Nothobranchius furzeri: one gene and its partners. The protein of the gene in region 2 interacts with the protein of the main gene of each other region in a biochemical or structural test. Links are inferred from orthologs where the notes say so. Each region holds a gene or a part of one and is shown on either strand. Other genes may lie near its edges.

Region 1 (4,195 bases), on a different chromosome or scaffold from region 2:
AAAGTGTCTGCCTCACGGACTAAAGCTGGGAGCTGGTTCCACAGGAGAGGAGCCTGATAACTAAAAGATCTGCCTCCCATCCTAATTTTAGATATTCCTGGAACCACCAGTAGACCTGCAGTCTGAGAGCGAAGTGCTCGATTACGAACGTATAGAACAATCAGATCACTGATGTATGATGGAGCTTGATTATTAAGAGCTTTATATGTGAGAAGAAGGATCTTAAAATCTATTCTGAATTTAACAGGTAGCCAATGTAGGGAAGCTAAGACAGGAGAGATATGATCTCTCTTTTTAATTCTCATCAGAACTCTAGCTGCAGCATTTTGGACAAGCTGAAGACTTTTAACTACATTCTGTGGACTTCCTGAGAGTAATGAATTACAGTAATCCAGTCTTGATGTGATAAATGCATGAACTAGTTTTTCAGCATCCCTCCTGGAAAGGATGCATCTAATCTTAGCAATATTCCGAAGGTGGAAAAAGGAAATCCTACAAACTTGTGAAACCTGGGATTTGAATCACATGTCCTTGAAAAGTTACTCTGATTTCATTATTTTTATTAATATTTTATTTGGCTGAATGCCTTTTATTTAGATTCCCCTCCCAGTTTTGATCTCTTTGTAAAAAGATTCAACAGTGAATATGGAAGAATAGGAGTTCCCAGACTGGAATGTTGCAGTTTTAGCGACACCTAGTGGTGTGTAGGGTCAGGTGCACCATTATCTGTAAAAGCTTCAGTGAAGATTGATAAATGAACCCAAAACTTCAGCTACAAAGGTTTCAAACAAGTATATAAGACTTGTTTTCTGTTTTATGAGTTAAAACCAGCTGGTAAAAGAAATATTAAATTACTATGAACCTTTTCACTTATTCAGTTAAATACGGGTTCATTAAAACTGTATTTTGTCTCTGAATGTACCACAGCTGTGTCTCGTGCCTCACTACCTGTTTGATGACCGGCCGTCTGTTCTTTCGGTCATGTAAGCAGTTCGAAGCCAAACAGTAGATGGTCTCCACCTGGCTCAGCTCCCAGTCGCTCATCTTCTTATCCACAAAATCCTCCAGAGTCAGCTCTTCATCTTCATCATCGATGTCGTACCTGATCTCCATCTGAGGGGAGAGAGAAAATGGGAACATGGGTTTGATTTGACTCCACCCAGTCCTGACGTCTTAGGTCTGAGCTGTAGTCACAGAGTCAAGCCCGACAGAGAAAGCCTCTTTTGTGCAGCTTACCAGCAGCTGAGGCTCCTTGTTCTCATTGGCCGGAGCGAGTCCAGATAATATTTCTAACAGCACCTGTAGATGGCAGAGAGACGGGGGTAATTACAGCACTCAGGGCAACAGGAAACATTTATTATAACTAAATGGGTCGCATCCCTGCAGCTGAACGGATGAGAGGAGCATTAAATAGAATTTCAGGTGAACATTGTTTCCATATAAAAACGAAACAGAATGACAGGAACTGCTAACCTGTGGTTACAACATCCTGTGACCGCTACCACATTAATTCATATGCAACCTGTTGGTAATTAACTAGTCGTTAATCCATCCACCTTTACTCTTACCACCTATTCAGCAGCCTCGGCTCCTTCAGTTTACACGGTCCTCACACCTTCACATACATGTAGAGAACATGCTCTAAATGTCATGGTCTGCGTCTGCCCCTTTCTTCATGTGCCTCCTGCTGTCCTCCATCCCTCTCTAGATTCCCTTTTGTGTCTCTTAGCGCCCTCATGTGTCCTTTGTCTGCATTTCAGTTAGGTGTCTTATGTTGTAAAGTCAATTCCTCCCAGGTACTGTGCCATTCCCCTGCTCAGTGTTTGTGTGAGTCCTTCCTTCTGTTTTAGGTTTAGTTTTGGGTTTGAGGTTATCTGCCCTCCATTGGTTCTGTTTCCCACATTTAGATGTCTTCTCTCCAGCCTTCACTCCATACACCTGTTTCCTTAAATGTTCTCTCTTTGTATTTAAGCCCTGTCTTGTCTCTGTTTGGTGTCGGTCCATTCTCTCGTCTTGGATTACTGTGTTCTTGGTCTTCTCGTGTCTCGAGTGTTTTTTGGATGTCCAGATCATTATCTGGACTTTTTTGGATTTTGGCTTCCAGCCTTTGGACTTATTTTTGTTCTCCTTAAAATAAAGGATTTTCTTAATCATCATCTCAGCCTCGTGTCATCCTGGGTACTGCATTTTGGGTCCTACCTACACTGAACCGTGACACTACATGGTCCTTATAAATACATGTTATTGTTCTATTGTTAATCATTTGTTGCTCTTTTTTTTAAGTCAGTTTAAAAGTCTGAAGGTTCTTCATTAAAATTCGTGATTTTTTTAAAGGATTTCTAACTTGGTGCGTTTAAAAATGTTTAAGGCTAGATTCTATTTTAAGTATTTTTTGCATTATCCTTCACAATATTATTTAAACAGCACTACCATCAGGCTTAAACAGTTCACGACCCTGCAGTGGCCCTTATGCACAGAGGAAGTGACATCACCCACAGCCAGCTGTGTTTACGGCAGAGATGGGGAATTGTGGAATCAACAAGTCCGTGCGCCGTGTTTTTCTTCAGCTTAACAACTAAACCAGGTGATTTCAATCAGCACAGCGAATGAAACGTGTTCAGGTGCTGAGCAGAACAAAAACATGGAGATGACTTGTTGATGCCACGATTCCCATCTCTGGTTTACGGACATAAACACAGATGCTAAACGTGTCCGTGGATATTAAATTACCGCTCAACTTTCTACAGACTCCATTCTATTTGTCTTTCGGCGTCATGAGCAGGAATATGTCTACTTCCTTCTCTGTGCATTCATTTGCAATTCCCTGATCCACATTTGTGTTGTCTCTTCTGAAGTTTATAGTAGCAAATACTGAAAAGTCTCAGAAGGGCAGAAAACACTGTGTGTGTGTGTGTGTGTGTGCGCGCGCACGAGTGAGAAACTCACCACACCAAAGCTGAAGACGTCAGATTTGGGGGTGACTTCTCCTCTCAGTGCCTCAGGTGCCATATATGCACGAGTACCCACAATCCTCTCTGTCATCATGGTTGTCGAGGTGTGCTTGGCCGAAGCTCTTGTGAGGCCAAAGTCTGAGATTTTTGCCACAAGATTTTCATCTAACAGGATATTTGCACTAAAAGGGGAAAATGTACAGAAAGTATTTTACTTTTGTTTATTATGAAGAAGTGTTTGGCTTGTTTGTTGATGTTTTCTGCTAAGAGGCAGTCCCGATCAGCTGCCGGCTGCAGATTCATGTTTAAAATAATTTTATCTTAAATCCAGCAGGACAGAAACATTTAAAGGTCAGGGTTAGCCTAATCCTGACCCTACTGCAGAAGGACTTCCATCTATGTACCTTTTGACATCCCTGTGTACATGATGGTTCAGGTGTAGGTACTCCAACCCTCTGGCTGTCCCCTCTGCTATCAAACACCTCTGTCTCCAGGACAAGGGAGGACTTCCGTCCTTCGTGGACAAACACAAGCAGGTAAACGTCTTGCTTTGGTGTTAGAGAGCAGAGAAGAAAGGTGTTTACCAAGCAGGCTAGTCGATCCAGCAGAGATCCGTTCGCCATGAAGGCGTATACGATACACAGCTGCTGCTCATCACAGGAAAATCCAATCATGTCGACCAAGTTCTCATGTTTCAACCTGTGGAGTGAACAGGGTGAGTCAGCTGAGTTTACCGGGAGCAGGACAGACAGACACAACTTACACTTTCAAAGTTTGGATTTCTTGGTCGAACTGAACTTTCAGCTTGTCCAGCGGCATGTCTTCCACCTGTAAGAGACCGTGTTTCTGCATCACAACTCCAAAACATCTGCTTTACAGAAAGCACATCCCCACTTACTGGATTGAGTTTTTTCACTGCCACAGCTATGACATTCAGGAAACCTTTGTAGACCGTTCCAAAGCCCCCCATTCCAAGACGGCGACCTCCATTTGATATTGAGCGGTCGTCAAAGTTCCCAGTGATCCTCATCAGCTCTCTGTATGAGAAACTGGAGAAACCTAATCAGGGAAGATGCAGAAATAATTCAAACGATGCTACTGTCAAGCGAGTGCTGCCACCTGCTGGTTAGTTACGTAAACAGCAACTTTATGCATTTAACTAAACCAAATTAAACTTGATTTATGCTGCACATTTCAAGCATGGCTACACAATGTGCTTCACAGCGTATAGCATGCAAAACACA
Region 2 (5,000 bases):
TTTTTTGGACTCATTTGGTTCTGGCATTATTCAGGTTCTGTTCAACCCAAACAGAACTGTGTTAAATTAAAGATCCATCGGCAGCTGAAACTGAACCATCCCAGAACCCAGATCCTGAACCTGTTGAGTCTATGATCTTCATTCAGAACCAAATAAGATCTGTTCTAATGGAGCAGAAGCTGATCAGAACCAGTCCTTCAGAGGGCCCGGGTCCACTTTAGGTTTCTTGAGTGAACTCTGACCTCATGGTTGTGATCCAGCTCTAGAACCAGGAGTCTGCTCCACGCTGATGCACTGGGTCAGAACCGGTCCTCGATTCATCTCCAGTTTGTTTGTTTTCACCTTCGAACAGGAAACCTTTAGAGCTCAGTCACGTGACCATTTGTCTGCTCTCTGATTGGCTGGAACGGCATCAGCGTGAAGTTTTGTTGTTTGGATGTTTTTTGTTTGTTTGCAGGAATCAGCTGACTTCACATGTCAACATAAAGGAACGCTCCAGCTGGGGTCACGTGACCTGTTGTGCCTCACACACCTCACGAGACTATAAACTCCCGCCACTAATCAATGTTCCTGAACCTGCAGCGAACTTGTCACGTGTCACCCGGTTCTGTTTACCAGCAGCAGCTAAACACTAGATCCAAACGAGCCGAACCCGAACCCGAACCCCCCTCCCCAGAGTAAACAGCTGGACTTCAGTTGTTTCAGCTCGGTTCGAAAAAAGAGCCGAACCGAACCTGGTTTAACAACACGGCGCACGCGCTGCTGCACGCGCCCCGCCAATTCTCATAAATGAGCGGAGTGGGTCGCGCATCCCTACCTGGATTACCTGGGCAGTCACGTGGTTTTCGTTCCGGTTCCGAACCCTGTCCGCTGGTCTGATCGATCATGTGGGATCATTGATCTGATCGCTCCTCTTCATCCTCCACCTCCTCCTCTTCAGCCGCGCTGCAGCATCAGCACCACAGGCGCGCTCACGACCACGGACACGCACACGCCTCGCCCATTGCGCGCGCACGAGACACAGCAGTTGCTCAGCGGCTGTTAGAGCATCCTGTTCAGGTGAAGTTCACCTGAGCAAGGAGCAGGGGGGGTCACAGGGTCTGACCTTTGACCTCCCAGCTGACCAGCGGTTCTGGAAGTCCAGTAACTGGTGATTACTGGTTTGTTTGTGGTGAGGACCTACACCCACAGGGGGCGCCATCCTCCCACAGGTGGAGGGGAGGAACATGAACAAACATAAAGAAGTCAGTTTTATTCTAATGTCTGCAAACAGTCATTTACAAACGGGCTCATTCAGCAGCGAACTTCCTGAATCCTGAAGCTAAACAGCCAATCGCGTTTGGTTGCTAGGGAGAAATAATGAAAAAAATGTGGCCAATCATCATCAATCAAGCTGGAACATCAACAAACCTGTTATTTATTTATTAATCATTATGGAATTGTAGTGATTCTCTGACTGGAAGCTTTTTCTGGTCCTGGAAGGGAATTCTGCTGGAACGTCGACCCCGAGACGCCCTCCTGCTGGAGAACGGCTGGTGTTTATTTCACGGAGGAAGAAAAAGGAATAACGTACTCGTCCATGATGGGACGGTTCTGGAGACGATCCGGAGCGAAAACGGGAGGCTGGAGTTGTTTCCACGCGCTCATGAAACCTGGTTTGGGGACATCTGTCATGTAGTCCATCAGAGGAGACGGGAGGGGACAGCCGTCCCTGTCAGGGAGACATTTGGGACTCGGCCGCCTGTCCAGAATGTGGTCGGCACACCAGAACTCATCGGTTCTGATGTGATGAAACCGGATCCATTCACAGCCTAAAATGTTTGGTGTTTTACAAGAAGGATTCGGAAATGCTTGTCTGTTGAATTTGTGAAACGATCACGAATAAATAAACGTTTGAGTCAAGAAGGCAGCAGAACTCGGTCCGGTCCGGTCCGGTTAGTGTGGTCCTGAGAAGAACTCCCTCTTAATTTGGGGTTCCATGGTTCTGTCCTGGAGATAATCCAGCTCGTCGCTTTCTTCTGGTCCTCTGAGCTCCTCAGAACGAGTCCCTCCACCTGACCGAACACAGAACCAGAACCAAACATCAGTCTGGAAACAACACCTCGGGAATCAGGACCAAACCGGAAAAACGAGGAACTCCGTTTGGACTGAGACCTGGAACTGTGAGTTCTACGTACAGAAGCCAGGTAATGACTGCAGCTCGGGGGTTCTGGTCCGGTCCAGCTCATTCTGGGGCGCCTGACTGGGACACAAACACACTGAACAGAACACCAACAGGGTTACAGGTCCGAACCGCTAACACCAGAACAACCTTTGGTCTGGTTCTGGTCCGGATGCTGACACACCTGAGGGTTGAGGTGAGGCCGACTGGAGGGAACCTGCAGGAGAGAACCCAGAGAGTTCTGTCGCCACGGCGCCGGGCCCGGAAATGCTGCTGGACTGGGAAGGGAAGTTGTACTGATCCTCGGTGGGAACCGAAGGCTGGTGGCACTGGTGTTCTGGAGGCCGCCGTACACTGTGGTCCTGGGAGCTGGTCTGAGACCGGAGTTCATACTGGGAGCATCCTCGGCTCTCGTCTGTTTCACACGGGCCGGCCAAGGAGGTGGAGGGGAGGGGAAGGGAGGAGGAGAGGAGGCGGTTGGGAGGGGTGAGAGCGGCGTAGGAGTCGCAGGGTTCCACACTGGGGTCCAGAGAGCTGGGGGGTGTGGGGAAGGACCGGTAGGGGTTCTGGGCCTTCTTCACGCCGTCGTTGAGACCGTGAAGTTTGTCAAACACCTGAAAGAAAAAAACTCATCAGTGAGAGACAGCAGGACACCTTCGTAGGGCGGACAGAGGACCGGGACCGAAGACAGGTGGACATTCTCCTCTTCTCTCCAGACGTAGAACAGCCCCCGTGTCAACAGTTTGTCCACGTTCCACACCGCAGCTGGACCTGGTTAAGCGTGGCTCCAGACCCCACAGCGCCCTCCTTGGGTCAAAGGTCACAGATTTTAGGGCTCAACAGTTTCCACAGACGGTAAGAGGAGAACTACGTTTTGATGTGCAACTCCTGCACAGGCTCCTAAAGATGTGCGAGACCATTTTGTAAAGGTGAGACACGCATGTGATCTGGAGGGGAAGCAGGAGAAACCCCAATGTTCCTACGGCCACATTCAGGAATTCTGTATCCAAAGGCTGGGAATTTTCTCCTTGGATCACCTGAAAAGCTTCGATTGGCCCTTTTAGCGAGGTATTCCTTTACGACTCCAGTGGGTGGGGTTGTGGGAGGCACCACCCAGGAGACTATGGTCTGAGTCGAAAAAGGGTAGAAGGCCTTCTCCGGGTCAGGAATGAGGTCCTGTTCACGTGCCAGGGAAAGATGGATCGGGAGATGGTGCTGCGTCTGCAGTAGGGATGCAGCGTATGTCTGCATCGGTATCGGTCCGGTAAGTAAAGCTGGGCTGATATCTGCTTCAGAGGGCGAGGGGGTGATGATGTTTCGTTGTTTGGTCATGTGACAGTGATGCTGGATGGTTTATGGCTTTTTCCCAGACTCAACCACGAAATGGCAGCAGGCAGAGACCCCGCCACCCGACCTCGGATAAGCGGCCGATGATGGATGGATGGCTTGGCAGGAAGGACGGAGGAAAACTTTCGACCCGTGACTCCGCCCTAGAGCCAAGCAGTGATGCGGCTGTTCTGGCCCTGCTCGGTACGCTTGGAACCGCTTGGAAGCTGGAGCTAAAAAGGGGACAGCAACCTGGAACCTGTTACTAATGCACCGGAACAAGAACCTAGACCCGGATCAGAGACGTGCAGAAGAAGTAAACCCTGACCTCCTTCATCGCTGGCCTCTTCTTCCTCTGCCTGTGGAGGCTTCTGCAGGCGAGTGCTGCCACCTGCAGGTATCCATCAGGCTCTGCAGCTCCTCCTGCAAACAGAAGCATCATGGATCTGATAAACGCAGCAGAACAGTCAAGTTCTGAAGGAGTCTGGATCATATCCAAGGCCATGGTTCTGGTATGGGGGGTGGGTCACCTCCTCTGGGTCGAGGTTCACTAGTGAGGGAAGTGAGCAGCAGGAGATCTAGAGGATTATCAAGACCAGCGCTCTGTGGTGAAGATGGAGCCCCCGTTGACAGATCGACTCTCTTTTGAAGATTTTATGACTTATTTGTTTATTTATTGGTGATTTTTTTAACTAATCAATGATTTACTGACTGACGTGACGACTTGACTGATTTCTGTGAGGATGTGAAGACTGAACCAGAAAACAAGCTGCAGCTTTTTTCACACACCTGCAACCAGTCGCCGGTCCAGATGTTTTCTCCACGCCTCTGCAGACGAGCCGTCTGGATGGTCCTCCACCTCCTCCACCAGGTCTTTCTGGGAACCAGAACCAGAACCCAACACACAGTGATATTTCAAAGCTCCTTCAGAAATAACTCGTTAAAATGTTTTATTTAGTGTTGCCGTCTGCAGACCACTGGAGACCCAGCTGCTAATTATTTCACGTGAGACCAGAATCAAACACATGAGGGTGCGTGTGCTCTGACCAGGAACTTCTCTCCGTACGTCCGGTCCTGCTCTGAAGCTGGACGCCCAGTCAGGACCTCCAGCAGCACCTGAAACACAAGGTGAACTCCTGAGGTCAGAAGGTCAACCGCGCTGTGCTTCCTGAAGGAATTTCTTTTTAGAATGGAGCCGTTACTTGATAGGATTCACCAGACTTTGTCTCACTACATTTCCCATCAGGCCCTGAGATGCCTCACCACTCCAAAGCTGTAGACGTCCACGGCGGTGCAAAGTTCTCCTTTCCTCACATACTCGTCTGGAAGGTACGCCAGCGTTCCTCTCACTGTGGCAGTCTTACCCACCGAGGCCGTCTGGGTGACGGAGCAGCCAGACGGCGGGCGTGGAACGCAGCGGGCCAGACCGAAGTCCGAAAGCTTCGCCACCAGGTGTCTGTCCAGCAGAATGTTGGAACTGCAGAAGTTCAGAAGGACAAACGAGGTCAGGTAA
Region 3 (5,258 bases), on a different chromosome or scaffold from region 2:
GAGCTGAACACCCCAGTTAGAAAACGTAATCCATGAACCTCGTCAAATAGAATCCTTCAAACAGCTCTAACAGCTCTGAGCTCTGCTCTGCTCCTTATACATTCCCTGATGTGCGTGCAAAGCTGCACACCTCCACCAAGATTACCTTGATTACATCCTCATGATCACATTATGTTCGGCTCTACCATGATTATCCTCATGATAAGTGTGATTGACAAACAGTAGTGATCAATAACTTGTATAAAGCAATTATACAACAGATGACAAGTTCATTTTTATTACAACTCTATCCCTTGTTTTACCCATCTGTCCTGTACTAGAATGTTTCACCTTTTTTTGTAATTTGTATTGCTTTTATTTCTGAATTGCTCTTATTTTTGATTTATTCACTATATTTGTACTTCTACTGTACCATGTTCAGCGCCTTGGGCTTCCTGACAGGGTTGTGGAAGGCGCTTTATAAATAAAGCTTTGATTGATTGATTGATTGATTTCTCAAGGTCCTTCTGTGCCAAGTCTGTCTTCTTATCTAGGCCGTCCTGCACAGAAGAAAGGACTGAACTGTTATAATAGTGAATGAACAATGTGGTTGAATGAACAAATGTTATATGAATAATAATAATAACTTGATTAATCTGTGCTTACATTAATAAGGTTGATTAATCTGTGCTTGAATGACTGGTTTGAAATGAGTGTTTTTATTACATTGAAAGATTTATATATGATGATCAGTAATGTTTGATATGACAAGGTAATCATCATCTACACTCAGACACAAGGTTCATTAGAGATAAATTAAAGTTAAACGTTATGACACATACATATTTTCTTACCCACAAATCAGAGCATCCTGTATCTGAAAGAAGGCGTGATGTTCTGAGGTTTGCTTGTTAACACCTCTTAACATGGCACGTTCCGATTGGACAAGTAAACCATAACATGAGAATATTAAAACAGAGCTCACTTCACCGTGAGTCAGTTCCAGAGAAAGCTACGGAACGGCCGTCCGGAGCGAAACCTCTTTAACCCAGAGCATTTTTGACAAGCTGTCAAAAACCCTGCTACACGCTGAAGCTGACACAGCAAACGGTTCCTGCAGAACAAAGCTGACCCAGTTCCGACTCCCTAAGAGTCCTTCTAGACGCAAACAATTCCATCGATCTGTTGTGACTCGGGAAACATCTCTGGACTGGAGAGTCGGTGCTGCGGTTAATCTACTGAACCTCTGTGCCCAGAGGTCATCCGACCTTCTTGACCTCCGGATCTGCGAAGAGGGTCTTCCAAAAGGGTGAGGTAGACACAGCATGAATCGCGTCTGATGTGGTTTTGATAAGAATCAACTTCCTGGTTAAAGCAAACCAAATTCTCCTTTTTACACCCAGAACTCAGTTCTTCTAGATGCGAAAGTTCTGATAACCTCACATTCACACAGTCACCATACATTACATCCCATCCACCTAGATCCATCCATCACAGTAGTCTTAGTTAACTTGTCATGTTTTAATTGTTTGGAAAATAAATTCTTACTTTTTATAAACTTGACTCTCTTCTTGAATTAATGCAAAGTCTTCTACAATCCCAGAATAAACAAATCATTCTAAACCTTCTGGTTAAAGACCAATCAGACTGGATTCCCATATTTATATGGAAATTCACATCACATTGGTCAAAGTGTAGGGTAGTATATTAAGCTTTAAAAGCACCCAAATACATACAATAATTACTACGCTACAAATATATTTATTAGATCACCTTACATGATAAAGATTACAACATTCAAGCTTATTTAAATAATGCAAATTCTATTTGTTACGACAAGAAAAGTAACCAGCAGTAAAGGTTTAACTGATGTTCAAACAGAACGTAACACACATGAAGAGTAATATACAAATATTTCTATCTTTACATATAATAAATATATTAATAAAACCTAAACAGGATTTACTTTCTTATAACAAACAGATGATACCAGCTCAACAAATCATTACTTTTAAATGGTAATTTCTTCTATAAAAATGGGTTTGTAACAGTTTGCTAATGGATGAGCTTGTTTCTACTCATGTAGTGGTTAAAAAAGTCAGTTTATCTATTATGTTATGGACATAAAGTGATTCTCACTTAAGCTACTTTAACAAAAGAAATCAGATTTCACATCTGATTAAGGAAGGGTGCACTAGTCAGGTGTGCCGGCTCTTCGGCCGCAGGCGGAGAAAACACCGAGCTGATGAGATCAAAGAGGCTGTTGTGGGAAATCTGCAGGCTGACGTTGGTGCTGTGAAGAGAAGAAGCCCCCTCCGCCTGGGCGACGTCGTGAAGATGTTTACAGATCAGAGGCACCACCTGCAGGGAGGAAGGATTTGTAGTTATGCTGCTATAGGCTTAGACTGCTGGAGGACACACTGACCACTTCTCACACTCTACTGCATTCTTCTACAGTCTGCTCTTTAACTGTACTATTTTGTGCAATTTCAGCTGTTAACTTTATTTTCTCTAAGTGTTTTTCTCCCCAGAAGAAGCTACAACGATGTTCTGCTGAGCTGTGGTGGCCTCATGGAGGGAGCCATCATCTAGCACACTGCTGCTAACCACTTAAACATTCTCTCTCTCCTGATAATAACTTTTTGTTTTCATTGACTTTTGATGTGCTAATACTAATTTATCCGTTTAATTATAGATCCACTAGGATAAATACAATAAAGTTTATCTTTCACCAAATAGAATATTTACTAAGACATCACAATATAACTGTAGACACATTACTTGGTGTGTGTGTGTGTGTGTGTGCGCGTGTGTGTGTGTGTGTGTGTGTGTGTGTGTGTGTGTGCTCTGTCTTCTCGATCCCCAGTGAGTCGTGGAGGATGGCTGCTTATACTGAGCCAGGATTCTCTTGAGGTTTCTTCCTGTTAAAAGGGAGTTTTCCTCTCCACTGTCGCTTTATGCTTGCTTGGTATGAGGATTGCTGTATGCAATTTGCTGGGTTCCTTATATAGGAAACATTATTTCTGATTGGCTTAATGAACTGAACTGAATTGGAATTTTTATTATGTGAAGTGCCTTGAGACGACTCTTGTCGTGATTTGGCGCTACATAAATAAACTTGAATTGAATTGAATTGAAACGTCTATGAGCTAATACGAGCTAAAAAAATTCGGTGACATGCTGGAAGATGTGAACAGAAGTTTTACTTTCACGGTGATGAGCTTCTTTTCCAGAGGTTTTCCATCAGGGAACTTTTCTCCAAAGCACATGTTTATGGTGTATTCGGGAGAGCCGCCATTGTTTTCCGTGAACTGCTTGAGCTCTAAAAGCAGACACATTTGGGCCGTTAGTTTCTGTTTAGACTTGACGTTGGTTTGATTAAAAAGATGAAAACCCACCATGAACAAATTTGTTAAAGCTGAGGAGCTCCACCATGGTGTTTTTGGGTAATTTAGATGGGTTAGGTTGAGCAACACTGGGGTCGCTGGTGCTGGCGAAGACGTGGCATTTGTCCTGCCGCAAAGCGTAGATACCAGTATCTTGCACCTCCAGGAGAAGACCACGCTGGATGCTGTTGAGGATGCGATTAGTGTATTCGACCTGTGATGAAAAAGAACGGGACAGGAACAGATCACATCACAGAGGATGCATAAAAACAAGTTTTAAAGCGACGCAAATGAAAAGGTCTTCCATGTTTGGGTGTACCTGCTTGTGATCCAGCAGACCCTCAGTAGACGGAAAGCAGATGGAATGCAAGCCCGGCATTTCGCTGTGGTAGTGGAGCTGAAGACGGTTGGTTTGCACCGTCGTCTTTAGCATTTTTTTATTTCTGTAGTAGATGAATACCTCAAAGTCATACAGACTGGGCTGCTGAGGTGAACCGAGGACGGGGGCGTGGTTTACTGTAAAGAGAGGGCGGGGATATTTATAGGTGCAGTTCACTCATTTAATCAATTCCTTTGCAGTGGTCTCTAGTAGGAATGAATGCCTTTTAAGTCGTACTCTGGGGAAAAGACACCCTGGTGCGCCTGCTTCGGGATCTATAAGAATGCCAGATCAGAGGAGAGCTTCAGACGGCAGGGTTTGGAGTCTTATTTCCTGAAATTTGGACATCTCACCTCTGACTGGGTAAAAGCAATGCGACTCTACTGACCCCGTTGACTTTGCAACATTGATGTTTTATCTCTACAAATAACACAAGCCTGGAACTGTTTTGTCATGTGGTGGAGTTGCTAATTCTAGAAGTTAGCTTCTACTAGCCGAGACGTTCCCTGCTGTTTCCTCGACGCTAAACCAACAACAGCCTTCCCCGTCGTGAGTGTGACGTAGATCTGTCAGGCGTTTCTAATCCTGGAGTTTCACAGTCTATTTTCCTTCAGAAGCCAATGCAGGAGATAGGTGTAGGAGACTATTTTCACGTTCAGCCTGCATGAAAAACTCAGTGACCGATAAATATTAGAAACAATCATTAAAAGTGGGTTTTTTTCGATAAAAAACACCTTTAAAGGACCATTTTTCACAACTTTTTTTGCTTGTTTTCTAATAAATCGCTCAACTCTCTTTGACTGAACATACTGTCGTTGTAGATCTGCTGATCGTCTGGTAAAAATGGCGGGAGGGTCTCCGCTGCAGCAGGATAGTTTCCAAGAACCGCGGGGTCGTGCTGGACACAATTCTCCCCCCACAGCTGCTCATCTGTATCCAAATTCAAAATGGGCTTCTTAGCTTTATAATAAACCACAGACATTGTAAAAAAGGTTGTTTTTAATATAAATTATACCTGTTGGTTGAGTACCAAGATCCAGAGCCATTAAATCGTTATGTAGGTTATGCTGAGTGGAAAAAGGAAAAAGCGTGAGCATTCGAGTAGATGTCCAACCACTTAACGGAAGTGAAAGTTCCTTAAACTGCACCTCGTTTCCTGAGAGGAAGAACTCTGTGGAAGGGCTGTAAATCTCTGGAGTCATATCACAACCGGAGTCTTGTGTTGGAAGACCCTCAATTTTGTCTGCAATTTGAAGAATGGATCATTATGGTTTTTCTCCCAATAACTCAAAACGATTCCCACTGCTGAGCTGGATCAACGCTCTTACACTCAGTGTTGACAATCTCGTAGATCTTATGAGGGTCGTCTGGATTCTTGGAATCATCTTTGATCATCTTGAAGCGCATGGTGAGGTTGTTGAGAGCACAGCGGAAGTTGGTTTTCCACCTGGCCTTGTCGTTGGGGAACTCGTTGATTTTTCCACTTGCCACTGCCCAGGCCTGTGGACCACAGA
Region 4 (5,443 bases), about 3.2 Mb from region 2:
CGTGTTAGCCTCGTTCACTTGCATTCATTGTGTCTTCATTCTGGGGACCGTGGTCCAGAAGTAGAAGGGTTAGGGTTAGGCTACCGACGGGGAGATGTGGTTGTTCAGTCAGGATGGAGACAGTAAAAACTGCAGCTGTCAACAGAAATACAGCAAACGTTTGTAATCAGTACGCTGCTCTTGAGTATCAGGATGCTTCTGTGAGGCTGAAGCAGCCGATGGACTTGGTGCTCTTCTAATCGGAAGTCTGGTTTATGTTTCCAGACTCTGGACCAGTGGGAGAGGAAACGGGTCGATGAATCAGAACAGCAGACTCAGACCACCCCGCTCCGCAGCCTGGTGAGCTGGTCCCGTGTGCCGTAGCCCCGCCCACTCTCTGACATCCCCACCTCATATTATGGTCTGTAGAATAATGTCAGACTGCTTCAAACAGCAGCAAACATGAATATTATTTAAAACACAGTTTTATGACTTGACTCAGCTAAATAAACGAGGTCCCGCCCATAAAACAGACCGACGGGACGATGGCGGTAGGACCACGAGTGAAATGGAATGGGTCCTGAACCAGTGAAATGGGCTGAAGTTGGTTTTAGATGACATGTGTGCTTCCCCCTTCAGCCTGTGGAGGGCGCCAACGAGTTCCTGCAGCTGCTGAAGAGCCACAAAGAGAAAACAGAGGAAGGGACGAGAGAACTGAAGAGGAAGACCGAAGAGCTGGAGAGGAGAAATGAGGAGCTGATGAAGAAGATGGCGGAGGGAGAGGAAGACAAAGAGCAAATGCGGCGTTGCATCGACCATCTTCGATCCAAACTGCTGCAGGCGCAGGTGACGCTGTGATCTGAGCATGCTCAGACTTCTCTACGTAGTTTTATTTATGTTTTACATTACGCTGTAACTCCGCTCCGGTCCTGGAGGTCCGGTATCCGGCACGTTTTGGCTTTAACTCTGCTCCAGCACAGCCCCTGATGAGCTGCTGCACAGGTGAATCAGGGAAACCACTAAAACGTGCTGCATACCGGACCTCCAGGACTGGAGTTGAATACCCCTGTTCTAGCACCTCCCCTATGTGTGCGTGTGTTTTACAGGCTAGCGGCGGCGCCGAGGAAACCGTTCTGCTTCGCTCTGAGGCGCAGCATTCCTCCGACTGGTACGACACCGTCCACCGTCCCGCGTCCCAAACCCGCTCTGACCCGAACTCTAGCTGCTGGATAACTCTGATGCAGATTACAGATGCTAGCATGCTACTTCTCTCTTCTGCTTAACTAAAACCTTTAAAACTCCTTCTCCTCCTCCTCCTCTTCCTCCTCCTTTTCCTCCTCCTCTTCCTCCTCCTCTTCCTCCCCCTCCTCCTCTTCCTCCTCCTCTTCCTCCCCCTCCTCCTCCTCCTCTTCCTCCTCCTCTTCCTCCCCCTCCTCCTCTTCCTCCTCCTCTTCCTCCCCCTCTTCCTCCTCCTTTTCCTCTTCCTCCTCCTCTTCCTCCTCCTCTTCCTCCTCCTCCTCCTCTTCCTCCTCCTCCTCCTCCTCCTTTTCCTCCTCCTCTTCCTCCCCCCCCCCCCTCCTCCTCCGTCTCTTTTTGTCCCTTTTCCAGTTTGGGCTTGGCTAAGCTCACAGAGCAGCTCCAGGCCACTCAGGGCAGGTGAGCCCGCAGCTCCTCTTCCTCTCGCTGTCTTCGTGCCGTCCTGCTCGTCGTTCTGTGTTTTGCTGTTGCTCGTCCATCACGCGTGCTGCAGATTGTTCTGGTTGATGAACCGCTCTAATGACAGTCGCTTGAGTGTGTCGCTGCAGCTGGAAGTGACGCACGAGTTTCCTCTGCAGGTACCGGGAGTTGGAGGAGAAGCTGGACTACCTGCAGAAGAGCTCGGCCCAGCGAGACAGAACCGAAGCTCTGCTCAAGCAGAAGGACAAGGACTGTGCCCAGGTAGGACAGTCTGAGTGTGGAGCTTCAGCTGGCGGCTCTGGTTTGGTGGTTTAAGCTGCGTCTGCTTTTGCAGCTCTCCAAAGACTGTGAGACTCTGAAGGTGCAGGTAACCTCCCTGTTAGGAGAACTGAACGAGAGGCAGAGCTGCCTGGAGAAAAGCGATCACGAGCGCAAAATTCTGGAGGAGAAGTGAGCAGCTGCATCGTGTCAGCATCCCTGTAAACACGGAGCCTTCTCTGATGCTTGGGCTGTGGGTTTTGCTCCTGTTTGCTCCAGGCTGGTCAGCAAGGTGAAGTCCTTGCAGGCAGCAGAGCGGGAGCTGGAGCAGCTGAAGAAGCAGCACCATGTGGCCAAGGACAAGCTGCTGCTGCAGGTCCAGAGCTTGGAGCAGGCGCTGAAGACGGAGAGACACGTCGTGACCGAGGAGAGGTGGCTTCCCGCTGCGATAGCGACATTCCCATCAGAAAGGGCGTGTGTGTGGAGAAGCTGAGCGTTTCTGTTTCCTGTCCCCTCAGGAAGAAGCTGACGCAGCTGCAGCACGCCTACACCTGCTTGTTTAGAGACTACGATGCCAAACTGAAGAATGAGGTGAATAAAGTCGCAGACACACGCCCAGCGTTGCTTCTGTTGTGCCGACTCTGGTCTCTCCTACAGGAGGGAGATCTCAGCAGCCGACTGGAGGAGGCGGAGCGAGCGCTGGCGCTCAAGCAGGACACCATCGATAAACTGAAGGAGGAGGTGGAGCAGCAGAAAGGCTCGCTAGAAACCGTCCCTGTCCTCACTGCACAGGTCGGGTCACTCTCTCTCCTCCTGTCTGCACCGCTTTACTTCACCAGGCTCCGCCCTGGTGTCTACACACTCCAGCTGTTTCAGGTCCTTACTCTGGCTTTACAGGACGGAAGGGACACCGTCACCATTGGTTTTAAAGTCACAGATTAAAGGGATCCTGTGCAGGTCAGCTTGCCTTTAGCACCCCCTAGTGCCTGAAACGCGTCAGTGTAACAGCTGGAACGTCTCCTCAGCCTTCGTTAGCGTCTGCAGGAGCGGTTCCTCGCTAAAGCCAACCACTCAGCTGAGCTGGTGGTCTAAAACGTGCCGAAGCAGCTGCAGCGCCAGCAGCTCAGCTCTACTGCACCAGCAGCCCGGATCGACGTTCTGAGGTGATGAGTGACGTTTTGGGCGGTGGGGTGGGAGAGACATTCGTTAGGCCTGTGAGGGTCGTTTAGCGCATACTGGCTCAAGGAGATGAGGTGAAGGTGAAAAGGTTGCTCTCTGCTGCGGCGCCTGCAGTTGTGCTAAATGCTGCAGCCCGTCTGCCAGCGGGACTCGGCGCTCTGAGCACATCACCCCCTTCTGCCTGCTGCTTTTAGGATGGATTTAAATGTTTAAACGGACAGGCACCTCCTTACCTACCAGAGATTCTGAACTAGCATGGTCCTACGAGACGTTTGAGGCCTTTAGAGTCCCAGGACTCGTCTAGTGACCCGAGGGGACGGGACCGGCTCTGCTGTGGGCCCAGACTGCAACAATCTGTCCCTGCCACGAGGACGGCGGAGTCTCTGAATGAGTTTAGCTTGGCTTTAGTCTCAGGTGAGCGTGTTGGTCCTGTCGTCATGGTACTTACTGTCTGGCTTGTACTGGACAGCCTGTGGCCGCTCTGCTGTGGAAAGGCTGGTCGTCTCTTTAAAGAGCTACTTGCTGGTTAAACCCGCGTGCAGAGACACATGACAGGAGCTCCGTCTAAACAAAAATGGACACATGCATAAATGATTTAGGCTTTTGGACTCGTCTTTGTGAGAAAAACCTTTTTCCTGCCTAACCAGACGCGGCGCAGGCAGAGGGAGTCCCGTTAGCCGGCTCCAGAGAAAGAAACCGACTCTGATGCTGCTTCTGACACACAGGAAGTGTCTAATTCTGCTCATGATGGACCACAACATGGGACAGCAGCTCAGGAGGTAGAGCGGGTCGTCCAGTAATCAGAAGGTTGCAGGTTTGATCCCGGCTCGTGCTGTTGTGTCCTTGAGCAACACACTTAACCCACCCTGTGTGCTGGTGGTGGTCGGAGGGACCGGTGGCGCCTGAGCTCAGCAGCCTCGCCTCCGTCAGCGCGCCCCAGGGCAGCTGTGGCTACATGGCAGCTCCTCACCACCAGCGGGTGAACGAGTGCTTGTGTGTGTGTGTGTGTGTGTGTGTGGGGGGGGGGGGGGTTGTAGAAGACAGCCACACCGGTACGAGCCTGCTGCGCGCCCCACAAAGCAGACGAGCCAGAGGGAGAAACCATCGCTGTGCTGTCAGAAGGTTCTGTGGAGCGCAGGGCAGAGAACGATGCTAGCTAAACTGGTGTGCTAACATCACTATGTTGTACGGATTACGAGTGTTTGACTCGGGAATATCCGAACTTGTAACGGAGCTCGGCACTTGAGAGAGCGAGACGGCTCACTTCCTGTTCTGGAGCTCAGGGCGGGCGGTCCTGAGTTGGGTCTGGTGCTGACCGGCTCCAGCAGCCCGCCGGGTATTTTTAAAAGCCTCACTTCCTGTTCTGGAAGATGGGAGGCTTGTTGATCTCCATCAGATCGCTGGGATTGTAATCCTCTGGTCCGAAGTGGGCACCACTACCGACCCCTGGAACGGAAGATGGTGCGTTTTTCCTTCTGGGAAACCCGTGGACTCGATGTCCGGAGACGCTGAAGTGCAGCCTCCACAAACGCTAAAGTTCACCTTCTTAGGAACGTGTAAACAAGTGAACACACACACACACACACACACACACACCCTGACTGGATAACAGCCGCTCTACCCTAAAACTACCTACTGGCCACACTGAGCTTCAGGCAGGACTAGCTGATGACTCCCCTGGTTATAATCTCTCAGCTCAGCCAGCAGCACGGTGAGGTTTTACCCCGTGAGGCGGAAAATATCTAAGTGGTCGGATATTCACCTCAGCGTCTCGTGAGACGGAAACCTCAGTGAAAATCAGGCGCACACGGCGAGTTTCTGCTGAGCTGACGGCCGTTCGAGGCCGTTTGCTGAGCAGTTGGCTCTCGTGTGCGGCAGGCTGCAGCCACATGTTCATGTAGCAAAACCTTATTAAGTATCTGAGCTCTGCTGATGTCTGGGTTGTAAAACGTGGTTTAATGAGCTAGAGATCACTCATACAACCATCCCACGTCCGTGTGCTGATGTACGATGCCCGTGTGTGACCGCAGCTCTCGGCGGTCCAGAGAAGAGGCGGCCAGGTTGGTGATGTCACCAGATGGGAGTGGCTCCTCGTTCTCACTGGCCATAAGATGCCACCAGGTCTGCTAGTCAGGCGTTCCACGTCTGATGAGTTGTTGCGTCTGATTCTCACAAACGTTGCAGAGAGGCTTTGAGCACGAGGTCCAAGTGCTTTGCTCACTGGGAGGCGGAGTAGAACTGGCTAGTCCAGGAAGTGACCTAGCTTTAGTTAACTACTGCTGACAAATTTAGACAGATGAACAAGTTTTAACGGCGCTACCAGAGCACCTGGTTCACGTTAACATTGGTG

Evidence for each region.
Region 1: of the proteins of irak1 (region 2) and irak4, one has a biochemical effect on the other in vitro, tested with the Homo sapiens proteins (2 studies listed by BioGRID). The link is inferred for Nothobranchius furzeri from reciprocal best matches to the Homo sapiens genes IRAK1 and IRAK4.
Region 3: the proteins of irak1 (region 2) and irf7 form a complex in vitro, tested with the Homo sapiens proteins (2 studies listed by BioGRID, with this or other methods). The link is inferred for Nothobranchius furzeri from reciprocal best matches to the Homo sapiens genes IRAK1 and IRF7.
Region 4: the proteins of irak1 (region 2) and ikbkg form a complex in vitro, tested with the Homo sapiens proteins (3 studies listed by BioGRID). The link is inferred for Nothobranchius furzeri from reciprocal best matches to the Homo sapiens genes IRAK1 and IKBKG.

The regions. Positions count from the first base shown.
Region 1 is NC_091744.1:60,867,532-60,871,726, reverse strand, and holds part of irak4 (interleukin-1 receptor-associated kinase 4), read right to left. Parts: intron 4,011-4,195; coding exon 3,850-4,010; intron 3,780-3,849; coding exon 3,715-3,779; intron 3,651-3,714; coding exon 3,536-3,650; intron 3,466-3,535; coding exon 3,356-3,465; intron 3,134-3,355; coding exon 2,947-3,133; intron 1,300-2,946; coding exon 1,237-1,299; intron 1,114-1,236; coding exon 949-1,113; intron 1-948.
Region 2 is NC_091755.1:47,771,878-47,776,877, forward strand, and holds the end of irak1 (interleukin-1 receptor-associated kinase 1), read right to left. Parts: intron 4,965-5,000; coding exon 4,751-4,964; intron 4,604-4,750; coding exon 4,535-4,603; intron 4,365-4,534; coding exon 4,277-4,364; intron 3,911-4,276; coding exon 3,816-3,910; intron 2,776-3,815; coding exon 2,346-2,775; intron 2,259-2,345; coding exon 2,178-2,258; intron 2,055-2,177; coding exon 1,936-2,054; 3' UTR 1,238-1,935; downstream 1-1,237.
Region 3 is NC_091744.1:76,076,304-76,081,561, reverse strand, and holds the end of irf7 (interferon regulatory factor 7), read right to left. Parts: intron 5,245-5,258; coding exon 5,073-5,244; intron 4,988-5,072; coding exon 4,893-4,987; intron 4,812-4,892; coding exon 4,760-4,811; intron 4,675-4,759; coding exon 4,555-4,674; intron 3,882-4,554; coding exon 3,685-3,881; intron 3,580-3,684; coding exon 3,378-3,579; intron 3,302-3,377; coding exon 3,186-3,301; intron 2,341-3,185; coding exon 2,149-2,340; 3' UTR 1,725-2,148; downstream 1-1,724.
Region 4 is NC_091755.1:44,548,741-44,554,183, forward strand, and holds part of ikbkg (NF-kappa-B essential modulator), read left to right. Parts: intron 1-264; coding exon 265-339; intron 340-618; coding exon 619-825; intron 826-1,085; coding exon 1,086-1,147; intron 1,148-1,587; coding exon 1,588-1,635; intron 1,636-1,814; coding exon 1,815-1,917; intron 1,918-1,990; coding exon 1,991-2,106; intron 2,107-2,193; coding exon 2,194-2,346; intron 2,347-2,432; coding exon 2,433-2,706; intron 2,707-5,443. UniProt on the Homo sapiens protein: Regulatory subunit of the IKK core complex which phosphorylates inhibitors of NF-kappa-B thus leading to the dissociation of the inhibitor/NF-kappa-B complex and ultimately the degradation of the inhibitor.